4 linked regions of the Pelodiscus sinensis genome follow. The protein of the gene in region 1 purifies or fractionates together with the protein of each later gene. This does not show direct contact. Links are inferred from orthologs where the notes say so. Each region holds a gene or a part of one and is shown in the gene's direction. Other genes may lie near its edges.

Region 1 (7,152 bases):
GCCCCTCAGCACACAGCTTGCTCTCCCTGGGCTGTCTCTCAGCTCCCTGTTTTTGCAGGACTTCTTCTGCACACAGCTTGCACTCCTTGGGCAGTAGCTAAGCTCTCTGTTTGCTCAGAGAGAGCCAGAACAATCCCAGCTCACAGGGAGGATGGGGCCTGGCCTCCCCCCTTCCTCACTGGCCTGTCCAACCTGTCAATCAGGCTGAGCTGGAGTGTTGGCTGCTTTCCATTGTCTCTGGGGTCTGTCAGTCTCATGAACTTTTCCCCTTCTGAAACTGGGAGCTGACAAACCAAAAAACTCCCACAGAGTTTTAGTAAGGGGTAACAGGTCCCTTACACTTGGTTCATTCAGTGAAATACCTACATTTGCTGAGCACTACCGGTGTTAGCAACTAAGATTAGCAAGTAGTATGAAGCAAAGGGAGGGGTAACTGCCCCACTCCAATGGTGCCCCTGCCTCCACTCTTAATGCAGCAGTCTTGTTTAAGATCCTGCTGCAGATGGCCCTACTGGCTTGACTATGATTTGTGATCTGGCTTATGATGGGTGTTCTTGACAAACTTGCAGGTAAATGCAATATCATGCATACAGGGAAGACAGCAAATTACTAAAATCTGTGCAAGACTTGTCTTATGTAACTAAACTTTTTACCAATTACAGCAGTGAAAACGGTTGTTTCTTTTTAGTCCAACATTTTTAAAAACAGACCACTTAAAGGCCAAGTTGTTTTAAGTGTTTGTATTGATCAAAGAACAAAACTCAACTGCTTCAATTGTTATAGATACTTTGAAAATCATTCAGTCACTTCAGGCAGCTTTGTAATTCACTTCTCTTTCCTCTTGTTCTCACAATAGCAGTATTATCTGTATCTTGACCTTTCCTTTTCTAGTCTGAATAAGATTGAAACATCCCTTCTTGCTCAGTAGGGCAGTTTTATTTAAGCACATTAGTTGTACAGTAAAAAAGAGACCTATTTGGCAACCTTGGATTGAGTACAATCATTGACATTTATAGAAATGCTATTGATGAAGACAGACATTCACTTGGTCACACCCATTCCCACACCAAATTATTTTATCCATGACTACTGCAAATAGGCAGTAACTTCATACCTCCACTCTCTGCTCCCTTCCCACACAAACTCTCTCGTCCAGATGCTTACAAAAACATAACTAAAAAGAACATTTTTGTTGCTCTGTGAAGAACACTTAATAATATACATTAATAAACTTGTGTCTTCCGTGATGCCTACAAAAGAAAATATTCAAGGTCTATCTGAGCAGTGAGCATGGCAGGACATATTTCGCAACAGTCATACAATTATCTCTATAGATTCCCACTCAACGATTCACGTGCCCAGATTTGAAGGTCCTGGCGTTTAAAGCAGTATTGACCATTGCCAAGCATTTTAAATAGTAAGTCTTGTGCTTTGGTAGCACAATTTTTATTAAATGTTTAGCAGTGGTATTATGCCCATCTTTGACATCAGGAGCTATACATTTTTAATTTCCTAGATGATTGACTCTTGGATTACTCATGCTCTCTAGGGCACCTATTATTTCATTTGGGCTCTGGATTTAAGCATAAATGAAATTGTATCTATTTTCTAGTCTATTCAGGATTTGACTTTTATTAGGACTATCCTGGATTTCTGGAATGGATTTACCTTTCTCCTTTAACGCCATATTGTGGAGCTGCAGAAAATGGTTCATGAGTTAAGGAATCACCTGTCTTCTCTTGCTCAGGTACACTGTCAAAAGGTCTTTGCCAACTTGGTAGGAGGCCTCTGTAATTTATCTAAATTCCCAGGCCCACCCTGGACTTCACAGCCTCATTGTGACATGGTATAATCCAGACTCTGGTGTGTCTAGACTACAGGGTTTTTTAGAAAAAAGTACCCTTTTTTTGAAAACAAACAAACAAAAAAAACCAACCTGCACCTGCGTCTAGACTGCAGCTGCGTTCTTTCGAAAGTAAATAGAAAGAACGTGGCAGTTTTTCCGATTGCAGTAAACCTCATTTTATGAGGAATATGCCTTTTTTCAAAAGTACTCTTTCGAAAAAAGGCGCTATTTAATGCAAACTGTACTTTTTTGAAAGAGAGCCTCTAGACTCGCTTTTCCAAAAAATCTGTTTGTAGTCTAGACGCTCTCTTTCGAAAGAGGCTTGTAGTCTAGACGTAGCCTCAGTAAAATATTGAACTGGTGGGTTCCTTTCCCAGAATATTTTCAGCCTTCACCAATTCACACAGCAGGTGCTGCAGTTGCATTCAATTTAGATCAACAGATGATATGGGGGGGGGGGACGCCAGCTAAAGGAGAGGGGGCCCATGCCCTCCCCACACAACACTTCTCCACTCCAGCCCAGGGCCCCTGCTCTCTCCTCATCACCCCACCCCATGTTGTCCGGGGTGGGGGCTCAGTCCCCTACGCTGGCTTCCCACAGCATGTTTGGCTGCTCTCCTGGGTGTAGTAGCAGGGGGCTGCCTCCCACCCAAGGTTGGCTTTTGGAACCAGTGGCTCAGTGAGTTGAGGAGGAGGAGAGCGGGGGGTAAAGGAGTGGCCTCTGGCTTGCTTGGCCACTGTCCCCACAAACTGAGCAAGGGTGGCAGCCTGATGTTGCTGTAGCCAGGCACTCTCCCAGTCAGTTGGGATGCTGCACCAGACAGTAGCTTTCTGGAAGAGGTTCTGGCTCCACCTCTTCCCTTTCAGCTCTAGTCCCGTTCCTTCCTCTTCTCTCCACACCCCCGGCTATGTCTACACAGCTTCCCTCTTCTGCAAAAGTCTATGCAAATGAAGTGTGGATTAGCATATTGCCATGCTTCATTTGCATAATTAATTAGGAGCCGTTTTTGTGCAAGAGGTTTTTGCACAAAAAGGCACTATCTACACAGTGCCTTTTTGCGCAAAAATCCCCTCTTGTACAAGAGCCGTTCTTCCTCATTTTTTCAGGAAGAATGGCTCTTGCACAAAAACCTTGTGCAAAAACGGCTCCTAATTATCTATGCAAATGAAGCATGACAATATGCTAATCCACACTTCATTTGCATAGGCTTTTGCGGAAGAGGAAAGCTGTGTGATATAGCCCTAGATTTGGTTTTGTTACCTATTTGGGGAGAGCAAGCATTCAGTATGGCTAAGTGAGATTACTCCCTGCAGTTGTGCTTTAATAGGTGATGGCCTTAAGTGAACAACTGCAGAAGCAATTTCGTAATAGAGAATGGAAGAGTATTTGCCGTTAACTAGGGTTCTCAAAATCCTAGTTTCTGCAGATCCACACTGACCCCTTCTTCTTCCCTTCTTTTGAGTTTCTTTTACTGTAAAAAGTTGGTGAGGAACTGAGAATCATTAGAAGTCCCTTTTTTAATGGAGGACATCATGTTAGTTCAGAGCAGCTGTACCCCCATTGGCTATACTGTTCTCAATGTTTCTGGGACTTGCTTGCATTATATCTTTATTGACATTAATTTAGAACATATTCTCCATCGTGTACTTTATTAACAAGGGGAACATACAGTCCAGTGTTACGTCTCTTCTCACTTCATTGTCTCAGCATTCTTAGATAGCTGGTAAATGCTGGCTTCGGCAGCTGTAAATGCTGTTATAATTATGCCATTCCATGCATATATAACTTCAATTTTAAATCTTCTACAGTATTTATAAGTAAAATATATTCATTTCAAGGCAGTCTTCTAATTTATATTAAAGAAATTGTTATATTAGAAGAATGATACCTCTTTTTCTCTCATGTAACCTTATATTTCTCGTTGCTTGTGTTTCTGGTTGCTTACCTGGTGTGTCTTTATTCCAACTAGTTATTTAGTACAATAAGTCCTTAATGCAAACAGCAGTCATATGGGACTCAAGGTTTGTAGTTACTATCTCCAGAATTATAGGTTTGGTTCCCAGCTGAGATTATAAATGCTGATCTTTTAAAATACAGTTCACAAAGAGATGTATTTTAATGCTACTCTTAATAGTTATTTAGGATATATGGTGCCTGTAGTATTGCAGCTGTAGTGTTGTAAAAGGCTCTTACAGAAATGCACACATGCCACACCATTTCCTGCCAGGTGCTCATTGTTAAATAGGGAGCTGTGGTTTATTAGCAGCAGTTTTCTTTTGCAGCAGTCTGACACTCTAGCTCCAGGGTGGGCAATAGTTTTTGCAGGGGGCCACTCCACGAGCTTTGGTAAGTCATCATGGGCCACACATTTCTACTATTTGAGTTTGGGTGTAAGAAGGAGCTCTGGGACGCCACTGGGGTGCAGGGGAGATAATGTGACGTGTAGGGAGGAGTTTGAGTGCAGGAGGGAGCTTGGGGCTGGTGCACAGTGCTGGGGTGCAGGAAAGGTTAAGGCATCTGGGTTCTGGGAGGGTGTTTGGGTGCAGAAGGGGCACTCTGATCTGGGGTAAGGGGTTAGGGTGTGGCACAGGCTATGGCCAGGAGGCACTTTGCACAGGCAGCTCCTGTCCCACGGTACAGTGGGGTACTCAGGCTACCCCAGAAGCTGCTGTTGCCATGTTTCTGTGTGCCCCTTGAGGAAAGAGAGGCAGTGGACCTCTGAGCACTGCTCCTTCCCCCCAACACTGTCCTCATAGCTCTCATTGGCTGGAAATCAGCCAATGGGAACTATGGGGACAGTGCTTGTGGGCATGGGCAATGCACGGAAATCCGCTGTCTCACTGTCCCCAAGAGGCATGAAGAGAGAGACCAGCAGTAACTGGCTGCTTTTAGGGCCATGGCAGGCAGGCAGCCTGCCTGAGTACTCCTCTGAGCCACGGGCCGTATTTTGTCTACTCATGCACTAGCTGCATCTCAGGGCCCAGATTCACACTTGGCTACTGCAGAGGAAGGTAGAGCTGTAAGGGGCTCATTACCTCATCAGACCTGAACGTAGGCCTTTGGCTGTGGGAGGTGGGGTAAGGGTGGGTGTGCTGCTTGTGAGCCTCGCGGTGGGCAGAGTGGGGAATTATGCCTGAGCCCTGCTTCTGAGACTGACTGGCTGTGGCACAGGGGAAGCACTGTGACACCCTAAGGCAGTGGTCCCCAACCTTTTGGGGTGCCGGGCGGTGCACGCGCCGCGCGCCCGGGGGCGGGGCCGTGCACGCACCGCGCGCCGGAGGCAGGGCCGTGCACCCGCCGCGTGCCTGGGGGTGGGGTCGCCCATGCGCCGTGCGTCCGGGCACTTGGCGGGCACACATAAATACCCGGGCGGGCACCTGCAGGCACTGCATTGGGGACCACTGCCTTAAGGGGACTCTGGCAGCAGTGCGTGTGCTGCTGGCAGGGTGCAGAGCACTCATTGTGAGCTCTGTGCGTGACTCCCCAGTGGTGCAGGCAAGAACTGGCAAGGCGGCTAAGGGCAGGACATGCTGGGCCACGTGGCCCTGAGCGAAGACGCTGGACGACCTCATGGCACCCCAGGAAATCAACACATAGCCAGCCCCAATCAAGGGATAGGACTGTGGTACCCATGGGATTTGAATCTTCCTCAGCACTGAGGAGTGGAACTCTCAGGGGATGGGAGGCTGCCAGGAGCAAGTGCCTCTGGGGCAACTCAAGCAGTGGCAGGGCAGGGATGGTGAAGGCCACTGTGGTAGTTGTCGTACTGATACCCTCTCTCTCCAGGGAGCCTGCTCCAGGCAGGCCTGGGTCTGTGCGCTGGGGAAGGGAGATTGGGTGGCTCCTCAGCACAAGCACCTCAGTCCCCACAGACTAGTCTGTGCTTGCTCTAGATGCATGGGCATGGAACTGGTGAGGCCTCGTCTCGGAGCACTGGCGGGGGACAAGTGGGCCCCCCCCCCCTTAGCCCTTCAGAGAGCTGGAGAGGGGGAAGACTAGTGAGTCCCCCCTCAACCATTTGGAGAGCTGGAGGGAACTGGTAAAGCCCCCTGTCAGCATGTTTGAGAAGCAGAGAGGAGGAAACCAGTACTTGAGAGAGCTGGGGAGGGAAAAGGCAGTGAGGCTCCCCCACCCCTCCCCTTGGAGAGCCAGGAGAGGGAAGCTGGTAAGGGCCCCCTCCCTGACCCATGTAGAGAGTGGTGATGGTGGACCTGTGAGGCCCCTCTCCTCAGCCTGTTTGAGAGCCTGGGGAACCAGTGAGGTTCCCCATTAGGGCTTCAGTGTACGGGAGGAGGGGGACTGGTGCCTCAGCTCTTCAGAGAGCCAAGGAGAGGGAAATTAGTAAGGTCCCACTTCAGCCCTTCGGAAAGCTAGAGGGGGGTATGGATGCAGCCCACTCTCAGCTCATCAGAGCGGGCTGGGAGGAGGGAAACCAGTGAGGCCTTCTCTCAGCCCTTCAGAGACCGGGGGGCTTAAGTCCCCCCTAAGCCTCTTGGAGAGGCGAGTGGAACTAGTTGAGGCCTTTCAATCCTTCAGAGAGCTGGGAGAGGGAACCAATGAGGGCTCCTCAGCCATTCTGAGAGCTGACGGTGGGGTGCGAGGGTGTGTGTGGATGGTGAGGCTCCCCACAACACCCCAGAGAGCTGTGGGGAACTGAGGAAACCCCTCTCAGCCCTTTGAAGAGCCATGGGGGAGAACGGGTAAGACTCCCCTGCCCCTCAGAGCTGGGGAGCAGGGAACTGGTGAGCCCCCATCCCTTCCAAGAGCTGGGCGGGGGAAATGAGTGAGACTACCTCAGAGAGCTGGGGGGTGGGCACACCTCCCCCTCAGCCCTTGGACAACACGGGGGGAGGGGCGGAAGAGGGGGAAATCAGGTGAGGCTCTCCCTGTCCTTCTGAGAGCTGCGGGAAACAAGTGAGGCCCCAGTGCTTCAGAGAGCCAGGGAGCAGAAATTGATGAGGCCCCTCAAGATTCTCTCAGAGCCAGGGGGGCAATGGGTGAGGCCTGCCCCATAACCCTTCACGGTGCCAGGGTAGGGAAGCTGGTGAGAGTCAGCTCCTCAGAGAGCTGGAGAGGACTGGTGAAACCACTCCTCAGCACCTTGGAGAGCCAGAAGGGACCAGTGAGGCCTCCACCCAGCCACTCAGAGAGTCGGGGGTAGGGTGGGGTGGGAACTAGTGACACTCGCAGCCCTTCTGAGATCTGGAGGGGGGAAATGGGTGAGGTCAACCCTCAGCTCTTCGTAGAATGGAGGGACATGGAATTGGTGAGCCTCCCTCCCTCGGCCCCTCAGAGACCTGGTGGT
Region 2 (7,320 bases), on another chromosome or scaffold:
TTGCGCAAGAAAGCTCTGATCGCCATTCATAGAATGGCCATCAAAGCACGTGTGCTTTTTCCCATCTGGAGCGTCTACACTTGCCTTCTTGTGTAATAGCTGTAGCGCTAAAAGCAGTTATGCCTCAGAAAAGGAGGTTTACCTACGGCAGAAAAAGCCCTCTGTTCTGCCGTTTAACTGCCTATTTAATTGTGAAGAGCTCATTTGAGGTTTGGATGCTCCTCAGGTTTTTGCGCAAAAACAGCTGTTTTTGTGCAAAAAACCTTGTAGTGTAGATGTAGCTTATCAGTATAGTTAAATAAGTACAACTTTCCTAGTGTAGACTGTGCCAGGATAGATGAAGTGGTACAATTTCCCTAATTTGAAGACTACAGAGATTATGCCAATATGCCTTATTTCCATACGTTAAAGGGAATAAGCTATACTGCTGTTAGGCATCACTGTACCAATTATATATTTAGCATGTGCATACTGGGCTACACATTAGTGTTGTCGGTGCCTACTGTGCTGGGATTCATTGAGCTGATGCTCCTGAAATTCAACTTGCTAGTTGCTTCATTAGTTTTCCTGACTACTGTAAGGTTCTGGCAGGTGTCGCAAGAAGAACACTTGAGTTGTACTGATATAACTATTTGGGGTAAAAATCACACCCACACACCAAGTTGAACTAGTATAGACAAGGCCAAACTATATGCTGTTCCCACTAGATTCATTCATCTAAAGAGCCCCTCTCGGACCCATTTTTCATTGCATCATGTTGTTGTTATCTAAGCTATTGACAGAGCAAGTTGTTGAATTATTTGGAAGTTTTAAATGGTAGATGTGTGGGAGTTACAGAGGATCTTCTCTTCCAATGGGATTTTTTAAAAATGCATACAATCTGGAAACATTTTAATGTCAAAAGAAACATGACAACCCTCCCTTCTGCCAAAATAAATCTTTCTCATTTTTGCTTTCTCCTTTATCTTTTTACTTTCAATGTCCACCCCTTCCCTCACACACTTTTTCCTACCTGAAATAAGACAGTTTGAATCTCCTGTCACTTCTGTCATTTCCTGACCTTTGAGTGGGCTAGATTCATAACTGACAAATGGCCAGGACCAGAATGAGAAAGAGTTTAGTGGTATAAAATGTCTTTCACTTAAATAAGCAAATTAGTTTCATGTGAGCAATAGCCAAAAGAAAATATATCCTTTTCTCAAATATCTACCCTTCAAACTCTGTGAGAAGAAATCTTTCTGGCAGGATGGGTTTTCTCTTTCTTTCTTCCTTTCTTTTCCTTTGTTTCCATCTCTCCCTTTTTTGGTTGTATTAATCTCCAATGTAATTCCCTTTCTTCTGGCTTTTGTCTTTTTTCCTCCTTTGTCTCTCATTAATTCATCCTTCCTCTCAAGTGTCTCTGCTTTCTCTGAATTGCCTTTTTTCTTTCCCCACCTATCCAATTGTTTTTGTCCGCTCTACTTCTTCAGTATTTGCTGTCTGTTCTATATGGATATAGTTTGAAGGACATGATTTTGCAGGAAGAGTAACTTAATTTTAATAAAGTTCAAGTGTGAAAATGTTAAGTACTGGCCACTGACATGAATGTGTCTCTCGAAGGCATCTCTTATCTCTATGGGAATATACTGAAGAAAAGTTGCCATCAGTATAGTGACTGGGACAGGAAAGCCTTCCAAGAGATATTATTTTGAAACAGAAGGGCAGTAAATAGACCAAAGGGTGTGTCTGAAACTCTGGTGCGCTGGCCAGATACAATTCACCAGGGTTAGTCCCTGGCAAGCACCAGATGCTTCATTTGGCTGCTGTTTGTGGGAGGTGGTGCAGGCCAGGCCACCACTTTTTGTAGCTGTCATTTGTTGGAGACAGTAAACCGTGGCCAACAGGAGCTGTGAGTGGTCATCCCTGTGAATGCTCAGGTAAACAAAGTATCTGGCAGACCGCTAGGGGCTAGCCCAGATGAACTGCGTCTGGTCTGTGGGCTCCAGATTTCCCACCCCTGAAGTAGACAGTCTTCAGATGTATCACACTTGTTAAATATTAGTACACCTTCCTTAGTTCCAGATATATGTCTAACTGTTTTCTGTGCCTTTTCTTTATTTCTGACAGTTCTTTCCTCAACTTTCTTTTGATAATCTATTTTGCCACAATTTAGAAGTTCTTGGCTCCATGTTGAAGTGCACCGGCGGAGTGTCCACACAACCTTTTTGCACAAAAAGGTTTATTCCTCGTGGGGAGAGGAATAATTCTTGAGCAAAAAACCCTCTCTTATGACGATCTACTGTAAACTTTCTTGTGCAAGAACAGGCTTGTAGTGTGGAGGCTCCGCAAATTTTTCCACAAGAATGGGTGTTCTTGTGCAAGAAGCCTGCACTGTAGACATAGCCTGAGATGGGTAGGTTCCCTGGTGTTCAGGATTAGATGCTTTATTCCATAATCAAAGACCACAAGAAATAGGATTTCAAATCCAATTAACTTGCTTGTAGAATTGGTAAAAAACTTTAGATGTTTTAAAATTAAAATTTGGGTTTGTTTTTTGGTAAATGATTTTTTTTCCAGAAGAAAGGTCCCTTTTCATCACATTTAAAAAAATATTTTCCATTAAAATTTTTCCTGATTTTTAATGAACAGTTGCAGAAATTGAAGATATTCAGTTTTTGAAAACCTAAAATGTGATAATTGATTTATAGTTTTTAGTTGAAAAACTAAGAAATTTTCTACTGTCTCTGCATTAATTTCACTATTAAGGAATCACACTTTCCTTATAGCACACATTTGAGGAATATTTTTTTCACAGTGATGGCTATAAAGAAAGGGATATAATGGAAGACACTTTGTTCATCAGAATCTGACAAAGGAAGGCAGGAAAAATGGAGAGGGATAAAACATATATATTATGTTAATTATGGGAGATAGGAGTTATGAAACAGAATCTGATTAGAGAGACAAGATAGGTGAGGTAATATCTTTTTTTGGACCTACTTCAGCCCTGAAGAAGAGCTCCACTAGGAAGCTTGTCTTTCTCACTAACAGAAATTGGTCCAAAAATAGGTATTAGCTCATTCACTTTGTATCTGTAATATCCTGGGAACTACACAGTTACAACAGTACTGCATGCATAGAATCTGATTGCCTCATAAAAAAGTCCATTTGTGGTCACATGTACATGTGCCTAGTTTTATTAGTGAGTAGGCCCACTGAAAAATATTTTAATAAAATTAAAACACAGCAATACAAAGACCATTAATACAAATATATATAATATGAAGGAACCAAGCACAGTAACATTTCCAAATGACTTTTACTATTAAACCTATAATTATTATAACTCACACTCATACCACAATATAAATTAAATTGCATGATGTCATTATTTGTTTTTATTACAATTGTGTCATTTTTGTAAACATGTTTTCTTTGGTTTCCAGTCGCTAAACTAGTAGTCTGGAGACTTGAGGTCAGTTTCTCTGTAGGATATTGATCTATAATATTGATTGATGCAACATTGTGTAAATCAGCCTGCCCTGTCTGTTTTCTCACTTGAAAAGTGTTTTGAGATAATTACATGAAATGTGCAATCTGTTATTTTTACACTGCACTCCAGGTGTTTATTAAAAACAATTTTCTGAAAAAGTTATAAAGGGTCCAAAATGGTTTAAAGTAGGAAAGGCTGGTCGCTGTGACTACTTAAATAGATTATATTAATATAATCTTTGGAAATCTAGTTTTTGAAACTAAGTATATATTTTGTAAACAGGATAGCAAAATAACATTATTTCCCATTCTAGGGTGGGTTGAGCAGATTTTGTCCCCTGGAGTGGTCCTGGTGCTTGTGAATTTTTTCTTGGTTGTGCAAACATGATAATGGGATGTGGTTTTGTGAGCAGAATAAAGCTTCTGCATATCCATCCATCTGGTTTCACTCTGGGTAAAGGGTATGGGAGCAGAGCTGGACTACCTGGGAACTTTAAAAGCTTCAGCGGTGGAAGCCAAGTTTATCTGTAACAGGAAAAACTAAAACCAAAAAACCAGCAAATAGACTAGTAGCACAGTAAAGACTAACCATCTACATATTTTGTTAGTTTTTAAGATGCTACTGTATCTGTTGTTTTTTTTCCTGGAAACTTTAGTTTAGTAGTTTGCGCCACTTCCCATAATCCATAAATGGACTACAATTCCCGGCATGCATTGCAGCCCACGAAGGCCCCCTCCCACAATTTTCCACAGGCAGCCCTGCCTGTTTCAAAGGGACCCAATACCAGGAGTGGGGTGTATAATTGATTAGTGTATTAGGGACCATCCCACTATGGATTTTAGGGGAAGCAGCGTGCCCTGTAGGCGGCGAGGAGAGCGGTATTTCTAGGCAGGCAGCGCTTCAAGCGCCTCCAACTCTTTCTGGGCTTCTCTGAGGCGGCGGCGGCGCCTGTTAGTTGCTTTCCAAGATGGCGGCGCTGTTGGCGGTAAATTCAGGTAAAAGGCTCCCGAGCGCGAGGCCGGTAACAGGGGGCGGCGCCGCGCCGGCTCGTGCGGCCCCTGTCCCCGCCCCGCCCCGCCCCGCCCGAGGGGAACGGCCGCGGGGGGAGAAGTGCAGCAGCAAGAGGAGGCGGCGGCGCGAGATCTGTGGCCCCCTCGGCTCCGGGCCCGCCCGTGTGTGCCTGGCTGGCAGAGACCGTGCGCCAGCCCCGCCCCGGGAAGCCTCCCACAAGAGCCGGGGTGCGGGGTCCTTTGCCTTTTAGTTTCTGAGCCCGGGGGGGGGGGGTCGAGGTCTAGGGCCGGGCCCCCACTGCTCTCTGCAGCCCCCGTGCCTGGCAACGCGTCTTCGGTCGAGCCAGGAACCCCCCCCCCCCCCCTCGGGTCTGGCATAATCGCAGGAGCAGGTGCTCCGAGGAGAAACACCCCAGGGGCCCCGCGTCGCCAGATCCCCTCCTGGCTGCTAGTGCTGCTGACAAGGGATGTGGAAGCGCAAACGTGTGTGCGATTAATGTGAATGGTTACACATAAGTGCCGCCCACGGCGCTGCTGCGTCTGTATCAAAGGGAGCAGTGCAGGGGGCGGGTGGGAGCCGATACGTGGGGAGCTACCTCCCCCCCCGCCCACGTGTAACTGCTGAAATTTTCATCAGTTTCACATTTACATGAATACACGCACCTTGTGTTCCCCATCTCTCATTTCTTGTCTCCCTCATGGATTGTCAAATGCTTGGTGCAGGGACTCTTGCAGAGTATCTGGTGCAATTGGGTCCTGGACAAAGACTAGATTTCCTAGTCACTACGGAAATATAAATGATAAAATTGTGAGACTTGGCAACCCAAGTAACGTGAGGGAGATAAAGTTTTAGGGGGCAGTTCTCACTGCCCTTTGGTGCCATTTGGGGTGTTCATGTCCTGCATGATGGGTGCAGGGACTTTCTCTTCAGCCCCTACATTATCAAAATCTGAACCCTAATCTTTTAGGAACAAAAGCTTCAGGCAGTAGCCGAGTTAGTCTGTACAGGATAAACTTAAAAAACAACAAATAGTCTGATAGCACTTTAAAAACTAACAAAACATGTAGGCTATGTCTACACTCACGGCTTTTTGTGTGGGAAATATGCAAATGAGGTTAAGCGTGGAATATTGCTGAGCCTCATTTGCATACCTAATAAGCTGCCATTTTAGCAGAAGATGCTCTTGCACCAGAAGGAGCTGACTACACTGCCCCTTCTTGCGCAAGAAAAACCCTCTTGTGCAATGCCGTTATTCCTGAAAAAAATCAGTTTAGCGGCGTTGCACAAACAGGTTTTTCTTGTGCAAGAAGGGGCAGTGTAGGCAGCTCCTTCTGGTGCAAGAGCCTCTTCTGCAAAAATGGCATCTCTTTAGGTATGCAAACGAGGCTCGGCGATATTCCACGCTTAGCCTTGTTTGCATATTTCTCATGCAAGAAGCCGTGAGTGTAGATAGCCGTAGACGGTATCATGAGCTTTTGTGGGCACAGCCCATTTCTTTAAGTTTATCCTTTTAGAAACAGTACTACTTTTAAATTGAAAATAGCTGAACTAGATTTAGCCCCTGTCCTACAAACATGTGATGCCACTAGTAATACTCTCTCACGTAAAATGAACCTTGTGCATGTTTTAAAGTTTGAGACTGTAGCATGTGGCTTATTCTTCATAAGGAAAAATCTTTGTTGTGGCTTGAAATAAACTACTAAAATGCATTGGAGAGTATGGGAGAGGATGATGGGATTGCAGCAGGGTCTAGAGGCACTCTTGGTAATGGAGTGCTGCATGCTTGTGAACATACACGCAAAACACTATCCTCAATCCAGCTAGGGGGAAGGAACAACATGCTGTGATTCCCACCAGGGTACTGTTTCTGGATCCTGCTAAGGAACTCCATGCTTAGCAAATAAATGGTGGAAATGCAGCCTACTATTTCTTGTCTCATCTTCTAGATGTTGTAGAGTGGAAAGCTGTTCACTCTCCAAAGGTTTTTTGTCCCCCCTCCCCCTTTTTTGAGCTTCCCTTTTTCCTTTCCCCAGTTTAATTTTTTATCTTCACAAATTTTAGTGGCTTCCTTCAGCTATCATGGCATGAAATAGATGCCTTGTCCACAATACTGGAGGACTGATGCTCCAGTGATCAATATTCTGTGGTTCGATTTAGCGGGTCTGTCAACCACAGTATTCCTTGCAGTGGTGAGGAGTAAGGGAAGTCGACGGGGGAGGTGCAGCAGGGGTAGGTCCCAGACCCAGCACAAGCTGGGGACTGAGCCAGGCTTGCTTAGTCCCAGCTCATGCTGGGTCTAGCAGCCCCTGTCCACAGGGGTCCCGGTGGGGAGCTGGGACCCCCCGCAAGCAGAGGCTGCTTTGTGGCAACCTCCCCTGCCCTCCCTCCACGCTGCTGCTTCTAATAACATATGCTTATTGAGTTGTTGAGTAGTGCCTCGACTAGTTGATTAGCTTATTAAACACAATTTAACATCCCTAATACAGAGGCAGCAAAGGGGGGCGGGGAAGCAAGCAGCCAAGTAGTTAACTCAAATACCCGATAAGCCTACACTTATCGGGTAGTCAACTACTTGCTTATATCCCTATTATCCGTGCCTTATCTCTTATCATGAGTTCACAATGAAAGAGTTAAACTTTTCTGCAATGAAGACACAGTTTTAGTTAAACCAGTGCAACTTATATACACATACATGTGCTCATAAATCAGTTTACATGATGCCTAGATTAATTTAGTTTAAGTTCAACAAGCGATTCACCCTAGCCAGCCAGCGAAAGTAGAGTGGAGAAATAGCAGAATAAAACTGACAATTCTGATGTTTCAATGTTTCTGAACAG
Region 3 (7,354 bases), on another chromosome or scaffold:
CTTTCAAGTGCAGATGTAAAAGGTCTTTGTAGCAGAATGAGGAGTGCATGTTCCCCACCTGGGGCAGGCTCATGTTCATCTGTTCCCTGTGTTCCCGTCAGAGTGAGGAATGAAGCAAACTGCATTTTCCACTTGCTCCCTGATGTAGGGGGACAGCTAGCAACATCCCTGTATGTATTGGGGATGAGCTTTAGCCCACACTTCCTAAAGAGCACCTGGGGATGAGAGGCTCAAGGCTGGGGCAGTCCTGGAGGGGTGTGGGAGGCCGGGGGACAGGCTTCCAGCCAGCCTCTTTCACCTTCCTGCTGATTCTGTCTCTTTTCTGTTAGGTTTTATGAGAAAGAATCCCATTTTCTTGGCACAACTAAACCCTTACTTTGTTTTAAGTTATAAGAGAAAGCTGTATACCAAATTTGGTGGTCCTAGCTCCTACTCTTTAGGAGGAAAAGCTTCAGAGGGATAGCCAAGTTAGTCTGTAACTAGATAAACTTAAAAAATAACAAATAACCTAGCAGCACCTTAAAGACTAACAAAACATGTAGATAGTATCATGAGCTTTTGTGGGTACAACCCACTTCTTCAGATGAATGAACACCATTTTTTCTATCTAGGAGGAGTTCTTGAACACACAGACAGACAGAATCTCACATATGGCAGATTTTCACTACTGAGTATTTATTAAACAAAGCACTATACGAAGAACAAAAAGTAAAATCTTAATACTAGCTTTTAAAAATCTCTCCTTCACACTGTAATCCCAGAGATCTTTGGAAATGAAGTCTCCTTCATTTCAATTTATTTTCTTTTTAAACAAAGTAATGTCTAAAGGTCACAATCATAAACATTTAATAATGAGCTACGTAAGTATTAGTCATTATTATTATTGTTAGTAGTAGTAATAGTAGTAGAGGTATTATACTAGTGTAATTGAAAACAATGACAAATTTCCCACTTTCACACTAACACTGATACAGCACCACAGGTTAGTGAAGTATGGTCACAGTCCAAGTATGGATAGGCAGATTGTATCTCTTCTATACCAGTTTGAGAAGGGATAGATACTGTGACCAGATGTCCTGATTTTATAGGAACAGTCCTGATATATGGGACTTTGTCTTATATAGGTGCCTATTACCTCCCACTTTCCTGATTTTTCACATTTGCTATTTGGTCACCCTAAGTGTAGACAACTGAGAAGTAACAATTCCAAATTCCAGTCTATCTCAGTACTCTCCCATTGTGTGCATCTAGACTACATTCCTCTTTCGAAAGAGGAATGTAAATGAAGGAAATTGAAAATGTAAATGAAATGCAGATTTACTCTTGCGCTTCATTTGCATAATCACATCTGATTGCTTTTTTTAAAAAGTTTTCGGGAAAAAAAAGGTAGTCTATATGCGGTTCTTTTGGAAAAAACTTTTTCAAAAGAACCCTTATTCCTGAAAAAATGAGGTTTATAGGGTTCTTTCAAAAAAGGATTTTTTTCGAAAGAACCGCGTCTAGACTGCTTTTTTTCTAAAAAACCTTTTTTGAAAAAGTGATCGGACGCGATTATGCAAAGGAAGCATGAGATTTGTAAATCTGTGCTTCATTTGCATGTTTGATTTCCTTCATTTACATTCCTCTTTTGAAAGAGGAATGTAGTCTAGATGCAGCCACTATTGCTACCATCCCAATAAAGAAACTACCAGGATATGTTTGGGAGGGAATGCTACTTTCACACACTATGGCAGGGTGGGATTTGGCACTTGAATGGGATACCCCTTCCCTGACCACAGTATAGTGGCACGGAGTGTGTTTGGCAGGGAAAAGAAAGGGAAGGAGTTTTACACAATACCCGGACACCAGGGGCAGATGACCATTTTGCGGGGCCCAGAGCAGCACAATTTCGCGGGGGCCCCCTTTGCCACGGCGCATGCACGGTGGCACCACACGCATGTGCGGTGGTGCCACGGCGCATGCGTGGGGCTTCTTGAAGCGCGGAGCTCGGGGCGGCTGCCCCACTCGCCCTGCCCTATATCCGCCCCTGCCGGACACTACACTTGCAGCTTGAGGTAGAGCCTCATGCTATCCTTGAAATAGCAGAACAAGTGGGTATGAATGTGCTGAGAGTTTCAGTTTGTATCTCCCACACTATGTGGATTCAGTAGTGGAGGGTTAAAATGACATTTTCTGCACCCAGGTTGAAAAGGGAGAGCATGGGCATGTAGGCAGAGCCCAAGCATAATTTTTTCAGGCAGGTACAAATTTGTAACAGGGGCCCTGTCCTGCACACACAGCACAATTTGCAGCCTGAGCTGCGCTCCACCCTCCTTACATTCAGGCGCAGGTAAAATGTACTCTTCCTCCTATGTGGGGGCTCTGTATGTAGAAGGATCCTTAACACCGCTGCACCAGCATTGAGTTTCGTGCACTGACCCATACAGTGGCAATCCACAGGACTTGACCAACAGCAGCGAAAGCCGCTCGCCAGCCCCGCATTGCGCATGCGCACGCCGCCAGTAAACGGGGCGTGTGGCTGAAATCTAGTCGCCATGGGCGAGTAGATTCTATAGTCTGTCGAACCCTGGCGATCCATGTGCGGGGAAGAAATGGGGCTTTAATGGGAATGGCTAGCATGACAGCTGCATGTGTGTGCCCAAAAGGGGCATATGATAAGGGCTCCCATCCCGTAGAACACTGGTCACCAACCAGTAGATCGGGATCTACTCATAGATCTTGGTCTGTAACAGGTGATCCTAACTGGTTTGGCCAAGAGGTTACTGAGCCCAGCACTTCCGTTTCCCCCCACCCTCGAGACTGCTGCACGTCTCCTGCCTTTTCCCTTGGAGCTGTCTCCTCAGGAGCCTTTGTTTTTCTGTGCGGGGCAGGAGAAAGAGAGGAGGGGGTGCTAATGTCAAGGAGCCCCCTCTCCACCCTGTATCCTATCTCTACGGGGGGGTGGGGAGGTAGAGGGGGCCACAGCAGGACTCGGGATGGAGGGAGTTTGCTGAATGCTTTTGGAACTGGTGCAGGACCAGGGCGGGGGTGAGCCTGCCTTAGCCCCACTGAGCCACCTGAGGTAAGCAGGAGCCACCTGAGGTAAGCAGTGCCCAGCTGGTGCCCACATCCCAAAACCCTACCCCAGTCATGAACCTTCTCCTGCGCCCCAAACCCCTGCCCTAGCACCCCTGCATCCAAACACCCTCCCAGAACCTGCACCTAGAACCCCCTCTGGCACTCCAACTGCCTGCCCCAGGCTTAGCTCAGAACTCCTCTCACACTCCAGATCCCTTAATCCAAGACCAGAGCACCCCAGCCCTCTGTCCCAGACTGGTGAAAGAGATCGAGGGTGAGGGAGGGAGGCTAGAGCGAGCAGGGCCAGGGCCTCAGAGAAGGGGCACAAAAGAGGTGGGATATGGGTATCTGGGCTTGAGGTAGATCTTGGATTGCAATTAAATTAAAAAAGTTAGCTCCTGCTTGAGAAGGCTGGAAACCACTACCATAGAACCAGAGCCCCAGATGGTGCATGCATGGGGTGGGGTCCAGCTGCCCTCGCTGCCAGTATCTCCAGGGTTGCCATGTGGCCAGTTGTGAACCACAGTCCAGTATTTGAGCTTTCTGTTCGGGAAACAAATTGAGAAAATATAAATGTCCGGTATTTTCTAAATAAGATGTAATGCAGATTGTGATGTCATGTCAAGTGTGTTTTGTATTTTTGTTGAAACCATCTCTAAAGCGGGTGGCTCCTCACTGACCAACCCCCAATACTGGTGACTGTGCACAGTCACTGCAGCTTAGGGTGAACTTTGCTATCGCCTCCTCCCGTGCCCTGGAGCCGGGTTCCTGTCCCTGTCATTCATACACAACACAGCCTGGCAGGCTCACACCTTCCCTCCCCCTCACACCCACCAGCCCTTTCTGCTGATCGGCCGCCATTTTGAAACGTTTCCTTCCTCAACTGCTCCGCGCTGCTTCGGCGCGGGAGGCTTCGCCCAGAAATCCCGCGTTCTGTGGAGTTTTCCTCCTTTCCCCACGGCACGAACATTCACTCTTAATCTTTGTCCCGATTTTCAGGCCACATTTCTTTCAAAATTTCCCCGCCTCAGACAATCCCTTCCGGGGTCACGGCTTAGCGGCCCCAACGGCCCCTTTGTGGGATCGCCGAATTATTCGTTTAGATTCGGACACATCGCAGATGTTTCGCAACCGCTTCCGTAAACCTCGTAAAAAGATGAAAAATAATGCAGCAATCGTGTTAGGGACGGAGAGAGCACGAGAGGCGCGCGCGGAGACCCGCTTCGCTTCCGGGTCAGAAGCGGCCATTTTGTAGCGTTAAGTAGGAGGGCGCGGGCTCCACCTTGTTCATTTGCTAGTAGCAGCGGGAAGAGGCGGGTGGTGGCTGTGCTGTATTTGCCCTCCCACATTCTCGGCCTCGCCTTTACTGGGCTGTTTTCTGTCGTTTTCCAGATTTCTGTCCTGAGTTCGGGCCCGCTTCCTGGCTTGAGGACCCTCAAGGCCAGACCCGCTACCGACTCTCCTGATCGCTTCGCCCGGTTTCTCTTTTCAGTACCGCCGCCCCTCGGGGGCCTCTGCCCGCCATGAGCTACGGGCGCCCCCCTCCCGATGTGGAGGGCATGACTTCCCTGAAGGTGGATAATCTGACCTACCGCACGTCTCCGGACACGCTGCGGCGGGTCTTTGAGAAGTACGGGCGGGTGGGGGACGTCTACATCCCCCGAGACCGCTACACCAAGGAGAGTCGCGGCTTTGCCTTCGTCCGTTTCCACGACAAGCGCGATGCCGAAGACGCCATGGATGCCATGGACGGTGCAGTGCTGGATGGGCGGGAGCTCCGAGTTCAGATGGCCCGTTATGGGAGGCCACCGGACTCGCATCATAGCCGCCGGGGTCCACCGCCGCGTCGATACGGAGGTAGCGGTTACGGACGCCGCAGCCGCAGGTGAGGATCAGGCGGAGGCGGGGAAGAAGATTGCTTCCCCGGGGCGATAAAGGGCTGGGGGGGGGGAGCCTGGGGAAAACCACTGTCCCCAATGTGACGCGATGGGGGAGGGGGTTTCCTAGCTGGGGAGGCAGGATCGGCGCGAAAACTCAGTTCTATAGAGCCACGTGGTGGCGGGAGGGTTCGGGGGTGGCTGGAATTATTCCTCGGAATAATGGCGTTTCGTAACCGCCACGAGGGGGGGGGGGGTGTTCCGCCCTGACTGGCCCAGCCGTATCGCTCTTTTTTTTACGTCTAACTGAGTGATTTTTAACGTTCTAGCCCCAGAAGACGTCGCCGTAGCCGATCCAGGAGCAGGAGCCGCTCTAGGTCTCGCAGTCGATCCCGCTACAGTCGGTCCAAGTCCAGATCCCGCACACGCTCCCGATCTCGCTCCACCTCCAAGTCTAGGTCTGCCAGGAGATCCAAGTCCAAGTCGTCATCCGTCTCCAGGTCCCGATCCAGATCGAGGTCCCGATCCAGATCTAGAACCCCCCCACCAGCCTCAAAGAGGGAATCTAAATCTAGATCCAGGTCTAAGAGCCCCCCAAAATCTCCTGAAGAGGAAGGAGCTGTATCCTCTTAGGAAAAAGGTAATGTAGTTGGCGCTCTCTGCATGTTGCATGATACTTCATAATAGCACTTACTGGGGTGTATTGGGATAGTTCTTACCATCTTAAGAAACACTGAATCCTAGTGGGACACACTGTTAGCGTTTTGAGTAGACTTTTCAGTTACTTGGTTAGGAAACTAAATTTCTGCAGGGGACATTTTCATGTTTTTTGTTTAGGGATTAATGGTTTGGTTTTAATAAAATATTGTATGAGACGCAACCTATTAATGAAAATGACTATTTCTTGCTGTTTTTATCCAACATCTGCATTTTCCCCTTTAAAGCTGCGGTCTCCTGTTTGCTAAAAGAATATTGGCCAGTATTGCAGATTTTAACTGATTTGGCTGATCCTCCAGGGACCAGTTTCTGTGGGCGTGTTTTGGAGCAGGTTTGTCTTTAAAAGTTAAAGATACACTATCCTTTTATAATGGAAAATCTGTTCAGTGGTCATTGTACTGACTGAAGGTAAAGTAATTCTAGAAGTGGCAAATGCAATGCAATAAAAATGGAAACTGGTTTTTCCTCGAACTTTAGAGGCATCTAAAAATATCCTGGGTGGGGAAAGGATAGTGTGTCTTTAACCCCTCAAACTATTTGGTCCTGTTTTTAAAATGGAAATAGGTATGAGAACTGTGAGGTTAAATAATTAGATTAAATTTCATGGTAGTGTCTCTTATTGAATGCCAGTAGGAAAATTGAGATTTTTACAAAATAGTATACAAATGTTAGTATTCATTATAACTTATATGGGCTAAAGTCGAGTAAGTGTATGACTTTCACAGCCTGTTGCTTGCTCTTCACTAACTCAGTTTAAACTAAGTGACTGTTAAAACACTTCGTCATGATCATCTTTGAATTTTAAATTTGGCCTTTGAAGAGAGGCAATATGGTGATAAGGGGGGGGGGGAGAGGGGAGCACTGCACATAATCCTTAATAAAACTTAATTTAATTAGACAAAGCCAGTTGAAACGCAACCAGAAGCATACTTGAAGTCATCCAGGTAATTGGGAAGGTGCATGGTGGAATCCTGACTGAACTGTTTTCTTTTCAAACCTAGATGCATCAGATAAATGAGAAATCAACATAAAGGACACATCTGGGGTGGAAGATCCTTTGAATCTTCAGTCCATTGGAGAGACCCCAGGCACAAGCAACCAGCTGTTGAAAAGGTTATTTTGTAACATTTTTGTCTTAACTTTTTACTTGTTTTAAGTTGAGCCTCAAATGGCAGACTTTACATTTTATGTGCCATTTTGTTGCTGTTATTCAAATTTCTTGTAATTTAGTGAAGTGAACGACTACCGATTTCATTATTGGCTTGGATATTTGAGGTAAATTTTCATTTTGTTTATATAGTGCTGACTTGTTTGACTTTTTAAAAAAACTAATGGCAACTTAATTGATTGCCTCAAGTTTCATGTTGAGGAAACATGCAGCCATTACATGCTGAGTAGCTGACTGTCAAGGAAATGTTTTCCAATTTGCCTTCATTCCTTCAATAAAATTCTGCAAAACTTCTTCAAATGTAAACTTATTGTAAATGCTATTTACTTGGAATTAAAATAGTATTGTCTGTTCCAAATTTGTATAAAACTTTTTTCAGGTGACAATTGATTTTTGAAAAGACTGTTTTATCAGACTCAATTCTAATCTCTTCTCTTATGTATTTTTGTGCACTAGGCGCAGTTGTGTAGCAGTTGAGTAATGCTGGTTAGCTGTTAAGGTGGCGTGTTGCAGTGCAGAGTGCTTGGCTGTTTCC
Region 4 (7,587 bases), on another chromosome or scaffold:
GTGACCCCCTAGATCCCTTTCTGAAGTACTTTTTTCCCTAGGCAATCATTTCCCATTTTGTGTAGTGTGCAATTGGTTGTTTCTTCCTAAGTGGAGCACTTTGCATTTGTCCTTACTGAATTTCATTTTATTTACCTCAAACCCCTTCATTAGTTTGTCCAGATAATTTTGAATTTTAACTCTATCCTCTGAAGCACTTGCAACTCCTCCCAGCTTGGTATTGTCATCAGACTTTATAAATGGTACTTGGTCCTGCCGTGAGGGCAGGTGACTGGACTCGATGACCTCTCAAGGTCCCTTCCAGTTCTGTGAGATAGGTATATCTTCATATATAAATGTGTGCTCTCTAGGCCGTTATCTAAATTATTGATGCAGATATTGAACAGAACCGGACCCAGAACTGATCCCAGCAGGACCCTGCTTGTTATGCCCTTCCAGGATGACTGTGAAGTATTGATAATTACTCTCTGAGAAGGGTTTTCCAACCAGTTTTGCACCATTCTTATAGTAGCACCATCTAGGTTGCATTTCCCTAGTTTGTTCTGAGAGAGTAATTCATACTGTATCAAATGCCTTGCTACAGTCAAGCTATCTACTGCTCCCCCCCCCCCCCCCCCGTCTACAAAGTTTCTTACCCAGTTGCTTATTTTAGTATGTGTGTCCACACTGGGAGTTATACTTGTGTAAAACTTTCATGTGTAGACAAGGCCTTAGAGTGACCCTAGGAGGTAGATAATACAATAAGGTAGAATCTCAGAGTTATGAACTGACTGATCACCCTAATCTGGAACTGGAAATATACAATCAGGCAGTAGCAGAGACAAAACAAGCCAGGAAATCCCTGATACAACACATTGATTTGACCAGGTGAGAGAACTTTCTGTGTGTTTCATTTAAATGCCTAAAAGCAGCATTTTTCTTCTGCACAGGAAAGTTTCAAACCTGTATTAAATCAATAGCCAGCTGTGAACTTTTGAAAGAAGAACCATAAAGTTTTGTTCTTACCGTTAACGAATATTTCAGAGTTACGAACCTCCGTTCCTGAGGTGCTCATAACTCTGAGGTTCTACTTCAGTGGCATGGCATGTAAGAAAGTAGATAGAGGGGACCAGCACCGTCTTGCTTCCAGACCACAGGGTACTCTGTAGGTAAAACATGCTTTGAGGTTACAAGCAAGTTGAAAATGCAAATGTAATAATGTGATTTGGTCAAGTCATTGATTGTGGGTGGCTGAGAAGCAGTTGTTAGCTCAGTTGGTGGAAACGAATGCAGGCTAATGCTTGGTGTCTTGCACAGCTCATCTTGGGAGCTTTGCAAGTAGCTAGAGGGCACGTTTACGCTAGAAAATGAATGTAAAGTTGACACACAGCCACTTCAGTAATTAAAGTGGCGGTTCATGTCTACACTTGCTCCTTCTGTCAGTGGTGCATGTACTCACCGAGACCACTTCCACTGTCTGAAGTGGGGCACTGGGGGACACGGACAGCTGGAGCCCAGTAGGCCTGGGATCCATACCTGCTTCCCACCTTCTCCCCAACTAGCAGCCAGAGTTGTCAGCCGGGCATGGGCTCACGCCCTACCGGCAACATAAGTAACACAATGTCTACATGGACACTGCATCTATAGTGACATATGCGCTACATCTTTCAAGAAGGTGGAGTTATGTTGCTGTAGATTGCCACTTACTTTGGCAGAAGAGCATCCTGGTGTACATGCTGAGCTAACGTAAGATGCCTTACGTTGACCATAACTGTAGTGTAGATTGGATCTGAATCTGTTACATATTTATGACCCCCTCTAATCTCTAAATTAAAAGCAGGTCACAAAGGCTGTGTCTATTGCAGCGTTCTTTTGAAATAACAAAGTGCGTGTCTACACAGCAAGCCTGTTATTCCAAAATCATTTCGAAATAACGGGCTTCTTACTCCAATTTCTGTAACCCTAATTTAAGGAGGAATAAGGGAAGTCAAAGGAGGAGTGTTCTTCCTTCGATTCCCTGCTGTGTAGACAGAGCCTAAAGCTGAATTAAGCTATTTCGACTTTATCTATGCAATTAACGTAGCTGAAGTTGCGCATCTTCATCTGACTTTTGCCCACAATGTAGATGTATCCATAACAGTTAAACTTTTCATACTAATTTAGTCCCATAACAGCAGTGACATTTTATGTCAATCTTTGTAATCTGTTGAGGCCTCATGAATTAACCATTTAAAATATCCCTGTGGAGACCCACAAAATGTATACAGACTTGGGGGCCAAATTCTGCACTGTTGCTCTAGATTTACACTTGTAATGACTTGACTGAAGTGAATGGAATCATTCTAGATGCATGTGGAAGTAAACGGGAGAATAGCTGGCCCCCATGTATCTTCCACTGGACATTCGTCTACAGAAGGAAAGTGTCTTGAATTTTTTAAGAGCGTTAACTGACCTTTTATAGATGAAGCAGGTGTTTTATGTATTTAATTGGGAGACTAATTGTGGGACATTGTTACCTTGATGTAAGGAATAAATAAACAGATTTACAGTGAATTCTATATTCTAGATTGTTTTCTGCAGTTTTATTGCTGTCCATCAGAATGTTCCCTCCAATATCATTGATATGGACCCGACTTTGACTTTCAATTGATTTGATGTAAGCTAAGCTGGGGGAGATGGAAGTCCTTGTAAATCCTTTCTGCGCTGCAGAGAATAGTGAAACCTGTCTTTGTGGCAATCCATAGTGCCAGCCAAATTGGTCATCTTGTGCAGTACAGATGGACTTTAATTAGTGACTGAACAGTTGAACTGGGATACCTGGCACTGTTCATTTAGGAGCAGGGCCACTCTGCTGCCTTTTCCAATGTGGTTATAATTGCAGCACAAAGGCTTGTTTGTGTATGCTGCCACCATCAACTACATTGACTTAGGGGGTTGTGTCTTAAAATTATTTTTTAAAAATACTTTTCCTTCTGGGTCAGAATCTGCAGAAATTGACTCTGCTAGACCAGGGTCAGAACTTTTGTTCCAGATCAAACTTTGTAAAACTTCAGTTTTCTGTGTAGCCTCTGAGTTTCCTGACCTGAGTGTCAGATCTATCCAAACTGGCCCCAGAACACGAGTCTACAAGCCTAAATGCTGTGCTGATAAGGAAGGCACTACATGAAAAGCAGAAGGGGCATTTGGACCTTGCACTGTTGTGTCAGCAAACACAGTGGCAGGTCAATGGGGAGAGGGATTTGGTAATATTTTGTTAGAGGAAGATAGCTCGGTTTCCCTTTTTCAGCTTGTGAATTTTGATAAGATGAGGAGAAAACCTACCATGAGGGCTCTTTCTTGCTGTAGCCTTGCCCGGATTCCTGTAGTTGTGTGGGTTTAAAAAAAACCCACCCTCCTTTCCTCCCCCACCACCAACTTGTGGGAGAAGCTGGGAGCACTTCACTACATAGGATGGCTGCTAGCCCGAAAGAACCTTTGTTGTCTGTACAGAACCTAGCCCAATGCAGGCTGGGCTCTGACTGGACAGTTAATATTGTATGCAAGTTTATAGCAGCAAAGCTCGTTTAAGGTACAGACAAACCCTTAGAAATTTCCCCTGATGTTCAGCCTAAACTTTCCTGTTTTCACATGCTCCCTTGTGTGTCTCTTCTCCATGTCCAATGGTTTTAGGGGGACCGATGGGCTCCGTGGCTGGGATATATAGAGGCTGTGGAATTGGAGGAATTGTGCCTCTGCATGTACACAGCAGAGGTGTGTCTAGACTGGCCAGTTTTTCCGGAAAATCAGCCACTTTTCCAGAAAAACTTGCCAGCTGTCTACCCTGGCCACTTGAATTTCCGCAAAAGCACTGACAATCTCATGTAAGATTGTCAGTGTTTTTGCGGAAATACTATGCTGCTCCTGTTCGGGCAAAAGTCCTTTTGCGCTAAAGGGCCAGTGTAGACAGCTTTTCCGCAAAAAAGCCCCAATGGCGAAAATGGCGATCAGGGCTTTTTTGCAGAAAAGCATGTCTAGATTTTCTGCCAATCTAGACGCTCTTTTCCGAAAACGCTTTTAAGGGAAAATTTTTCTGTTGAAAGTATTTCCGGAAAATCATGCCAGTCTCGATGTAGCCTACAGCCATCATTTCCGATTTTTGAGGGGGAAAGGAAACTCGCATGCTCACATAGAAGTTTAACCCCTCTTTGAAGTGTGTCAATGGGCAAAGGGCAGGGGCCACATCCTGCCTGCCAGATGTGATGAATGGAGCCTGACCTCTTTTTATTTACTTACCATCATTACTGTGCTGGAGCCTAAACCTTGCAAAACACATGAATAGCTCCTGCTTTTTGTGATTGCATGGGAGCCTGCAAAGGCCAGTGGGGATTGGAGCCTATGGACCAATTAAAAGGGGGGGGGGGCACCTGCCCCTGTAGTGCTCCATGCCCAGTAACCCCCCAACTGCAAAGGGGGCGAGGCACGTGTATTTGCGGGGGGGCAAAGGGGCGGGTCCCAGCGCGTGAGGGCTGCCTGCCCCAGCCACCACGCTCCCCCTGCAGGGGCCACGCGACGCGGGCAGGGAGGGGTAGTCCAGCTCCTGCCTGACACTTTTACCGGGCTCCTGCCCGCAGGAAGGGGGGGGGGCCGACTCGGCCCTTGCCCCCTCCCCCGCCCTTCGGAGCCGGGCCCCGCATTTTCCTAGCGCCGCCGCCGGCACTTTGCGGTCGGGCAGCCGCGCGGCCAGCTCGCCGGGGGCCTGAGGGGTCCTTTGACGACACTTCCGGGCCGGAAGGAGGCGGCGGGTGGCGGCAGCGCTAGGCAGAGCGCGGACCCGAGTGACCGGCATCGGCGGCTCCCGAGCCCCCCGCCCCCCCCAGCGGAGCAGCGAGCGGCCAGGCCGGGCGAGGCCGAGCGGCAGCATGATCACCTCGGCCGGTGAGCGCGGGGCGGGGCCTGCGGCTCCCGCCGGGATTTCGCTGAGTCAGGCCGGGCCGAGACCCCCCCCCCCAGCCCCCGGCGGGTCACCCGGCTGCCCCTCCCCCACTGGGGGCACGCGGGCTCCCCCCTCCCCGGCTGAGGGGGGGGCTGCGGCTGGTTGGAATGGACCGAGGGGGAGGGGGGGGGGGGACTCTCTGCCTGCCCCCACCTGCTGTGTCACCTTCGGGCGAGGCCCTGCCCGCCGCCACGTGCCTCAGTTTCCCCACCTAGGGCGGTGACCGTACTGATGTACGTGCCTCAGTTTCCCCGTCTGATGTATGTCGGTGATCTGGAGGGGGCTTAGCGGGTGATCTCCGGGGAGCCCGGCTATCAAAGGGAAACGCGTTTCGGTTTGTGTGGTTTTGCCCCCACCCCTCCCCCTCGCACCCCGGGGAGACAGCTCTTCCCCCATCACCTTGTCACAGCCGTGGAGACTGGCTAGGGAAGCATTTAGTGTCAGGGACTATGCTGACTTAGGGGCTGGGCTCCTTCGGAAGAGGTCGCCCTCTTTTGCTCATTATGTCAGCTCCCGGTTTAGTAACATCCATCTCAAGACACATGTATTTGTCTGAACGTTTCCATAACTGAATGATGGGCTTTGGCTTTTAACTTCCTGTAGTTAAAGGGACTCCCTGCCCGAGAGACATTTCAGGGACTAGTCACAGTAATGGCCAAATGCTTTTAGTCCTTGATATCCACGGGTGTGTGTCAGCTGCCTCAGTTGTAGGAAAGATCCACTTTCATTGGTGCTCTGAACTCCATTGTGACTTAGCAGATTTCCACTCTAAGCTCCTCCCCCTGCAGTGTGGATGCCTATTCAGAGGCAGAACTTTTATCCTGTTTTAAACCATGCTCCTACTTTTCTTGTGGATATTCTGACCAATACTGAGCCAAAACCGAGCCTGCCTTTGTATGGTATCTTATGGGGGGTTATCTCTTTGAAAAGTGCACTGCTACACCCCCACTGGCGTGACCTTGCTCATGTGTGTGGGAGGTCATGCCAAAGGGGCGGTGAGCTTTTTGCTGACACAGGCAGGCCCACATCCATTCTGGAAGTACCGGAATAGTCGGTATGCTGGGAATGTGTGGGTGGCCACCCTACCTACTTAGTGAGTGCAAATCCAGGCCCGATAACTACTCGTCAAAAATCTTAAATAACACAGAATTGGTTTTAGCGGAGTAAATCATCCCTTATCTTCTCTATGGGAGAGATGGCATCAGAACTGTGTGTTCCTGGGTATGTGGGGGGTTTCAGTGGGAGAGGCTACCCCAGTCACCTGAAGCTCCAGGGCTGCTGCTCATCCTTTGCCAAGTGTCACTGCACTGAATAGTATGAGTGGGGGAGCCATGTTAGTCTGTGTCTGCAATGAGAAGTGCTTAAAGACTAACAGATTTATTTGGGCATAAGCTTTCCTGGGCAAAGACCCAAACTCCTCGTTGTTTTGAACTAAATAGGGCACTTGTGCTATGAATCTAAATGGGGCTTGGCACAGTAAGGATAAAACTGTTGGTAAGATCTTGTAGAATAACCATGTGCATTCTGGTTTACTCTCAGCTGTATTTGTTAAACTTCATTTATTTTAGGGTGCCTCTAGGGTAAGAATGTTAAATTGTGTTTAGCTAATTGGGTAGTTGATGGAATTTCCATCGACTACTTGATTAGTCGAAAGGTGGGAAAATTGCAGAGTTGCAGTGGGGTGGCAGCTAGCCCCTCTGTGGCTCTGCCTTTTAAATGTAGTAAGAGCCACCTTGCTCTTACTACGTTTAAAAGGCAGAGCCGTAGCGTCTGGGACTGGGCATGAGCCAGGACAGCTTGGTCCAGTCCCCCACTGTGCCTCTGCCCCTCCCCCCTCCCCCCACGGAGATGGTGCTGTGGGGAACCAGCTTTTAAGCTGGCTCCCCCCCAACACCAGCTCCTGCTCCCAGAGGCAGCAAGTGGGGGGCGAAGCAACTAGTCGAGCAGTGACTCGTCTAGTCACTTACATCCCTACTCGAGGGTGACCATATTTCCCTATGATGACATCTGGTAAAATTGCTTGAAGGGTCTCATTGAACTATGCGGTAGCCCCTCCCTCACGCAACATGCTATCAAAACCCCAGGGCTCAGCGGGGGAAGGAAGGTGTTGGGGGTCTAGGCCTGGGGGGGCAGAGGTGTAATATGACCTCTGTTTTGGGGGCACGGGCTAGCAGGGTTCAGGCCAGTTCAATAGGAGTCTAGTGAGATTGTGCCCCCTTAGCACCTGACTCACCTCAACAGGCCACCCAGCCTATTTTGGTTGTGGCAGGAGGAGGCTCTGGGGGGGGGTTAGCTCAAGATGTAGAAAGGGGGATTAGCTAGGAGCTGTGTGCAGGCAGGCAGGCATTTCAGGGTTAGGGAGGGGGTAGCTAGGATCTGTGCTAGGGATGTAAGCTTATTGGATAGTCAACTAGTGATGCAACTAGTCACTTCCCTCCCTTGCTGCCTCTATTAGGCTTTCCCCCAGCACTCCCACTGGGGCTCTTGTACATTTCAAAGGCTGAGGGAGTGTAGGGCCAGCAGGAGTCCCCCACTGACCCCGCCTCTGCTTTTGAAGTGTCGCAAGGACTCTTGCTATAGTTCAAAGTGCCCTTATAGACTAATCGAATAGTTGAAGGAGATCCCTTAATCCCTTA

The links.
Region 2: the proteins of ESR2 (region 1) and NUP205 purify together in Homo sapiens (affinity purification with mass spectrometry; 3 studies listed by BioGRID and IntAct, with this or other methods). This does not show direct contact. The link is inferred for Pelodiscus sinensis from reciprocal best matches to the Homo sapiens genes ESR2 and NUP205.
Region 3: the proteins of ESR2 (region 1) and SRSF2 purify together in Homo sapiens (affinity purification with mass spectrometry; 3 studies listed by BioGRID and IntAct, with this or other methods). This does not show direct contact. The link is inferred for Pelodiscus sinensis from reciprocal best matches to the Homo sapiens genes ESR2 and SRSF2.
Region 4: the proteins of ESR2 (region 1) and PSMD1 purify together in Homo sapiens (affinity purification with mass spectrometry; 3 studies listed by BioGRID and IntAct, with this or other methods). This does not show direct contact. The link is inferred for Pelodiscus sinensis from reciprocal best matches to the Homo sapiens genes ESR2 and PSMD1.

Annotation. Positions count from the first base shown.
Region 1 is NC_134714.1:15,611,070-15,618,221, reverse strand, and holds the start of ESR2 (estrogen receptor beta), read left to right. Parts: upstream 1-4,131; 5' UTR 4,132-4,193; intron 4,194-7,152.
Region 2 is NC_134711.1:85,276,845-85,284,164, reverse strand, and holds the start of NUP205 (nuclear pore complex protein Nup205), read left to right. Parts: upstream 1-4,305; 5' UTR 4,306-4,439; coding exon 4,440-4,467; intron 4,468-7,320. UniProt on the Homo sapiens protein: Plays a role in the nuclear pore complex (NPC) assembly and/or maintenance. May anchor NUP62 and other nucleoporins, but not NUP153 and TPR, to the NPC.
Region 3 is NC_134730.1:9,789,381-9,796,734, forward strand, and holds the start of SRSF2 (serine/arginine-rich splicing factor 2), read left to right. Parts: upstream 1-4,332; 5' UTR 4,333-4,580; coding exon 4,581-4,942; intron 4,943-5,263; coding exon 5,264-5,567; 3' UTR 5,568-5,574; exon of another isoform or gene 5,575-5,878; 3' UTR 5,879-7,354. Other genes in the region: UNC93-like protein MFSD11, read right to left, coding at 3,892-3,918.
Region 4 is NC_134720.1:50,712,190-50,719,776, reverse strand, and holds the start of PSMD1 (26S proteasome non-ATPase regulatory subunit 1), read left to right. Parts: upstream 1-4,584; 5' UTR 4,585-4,877; coding exon 4,878-4,893; intron 4,894-7,587.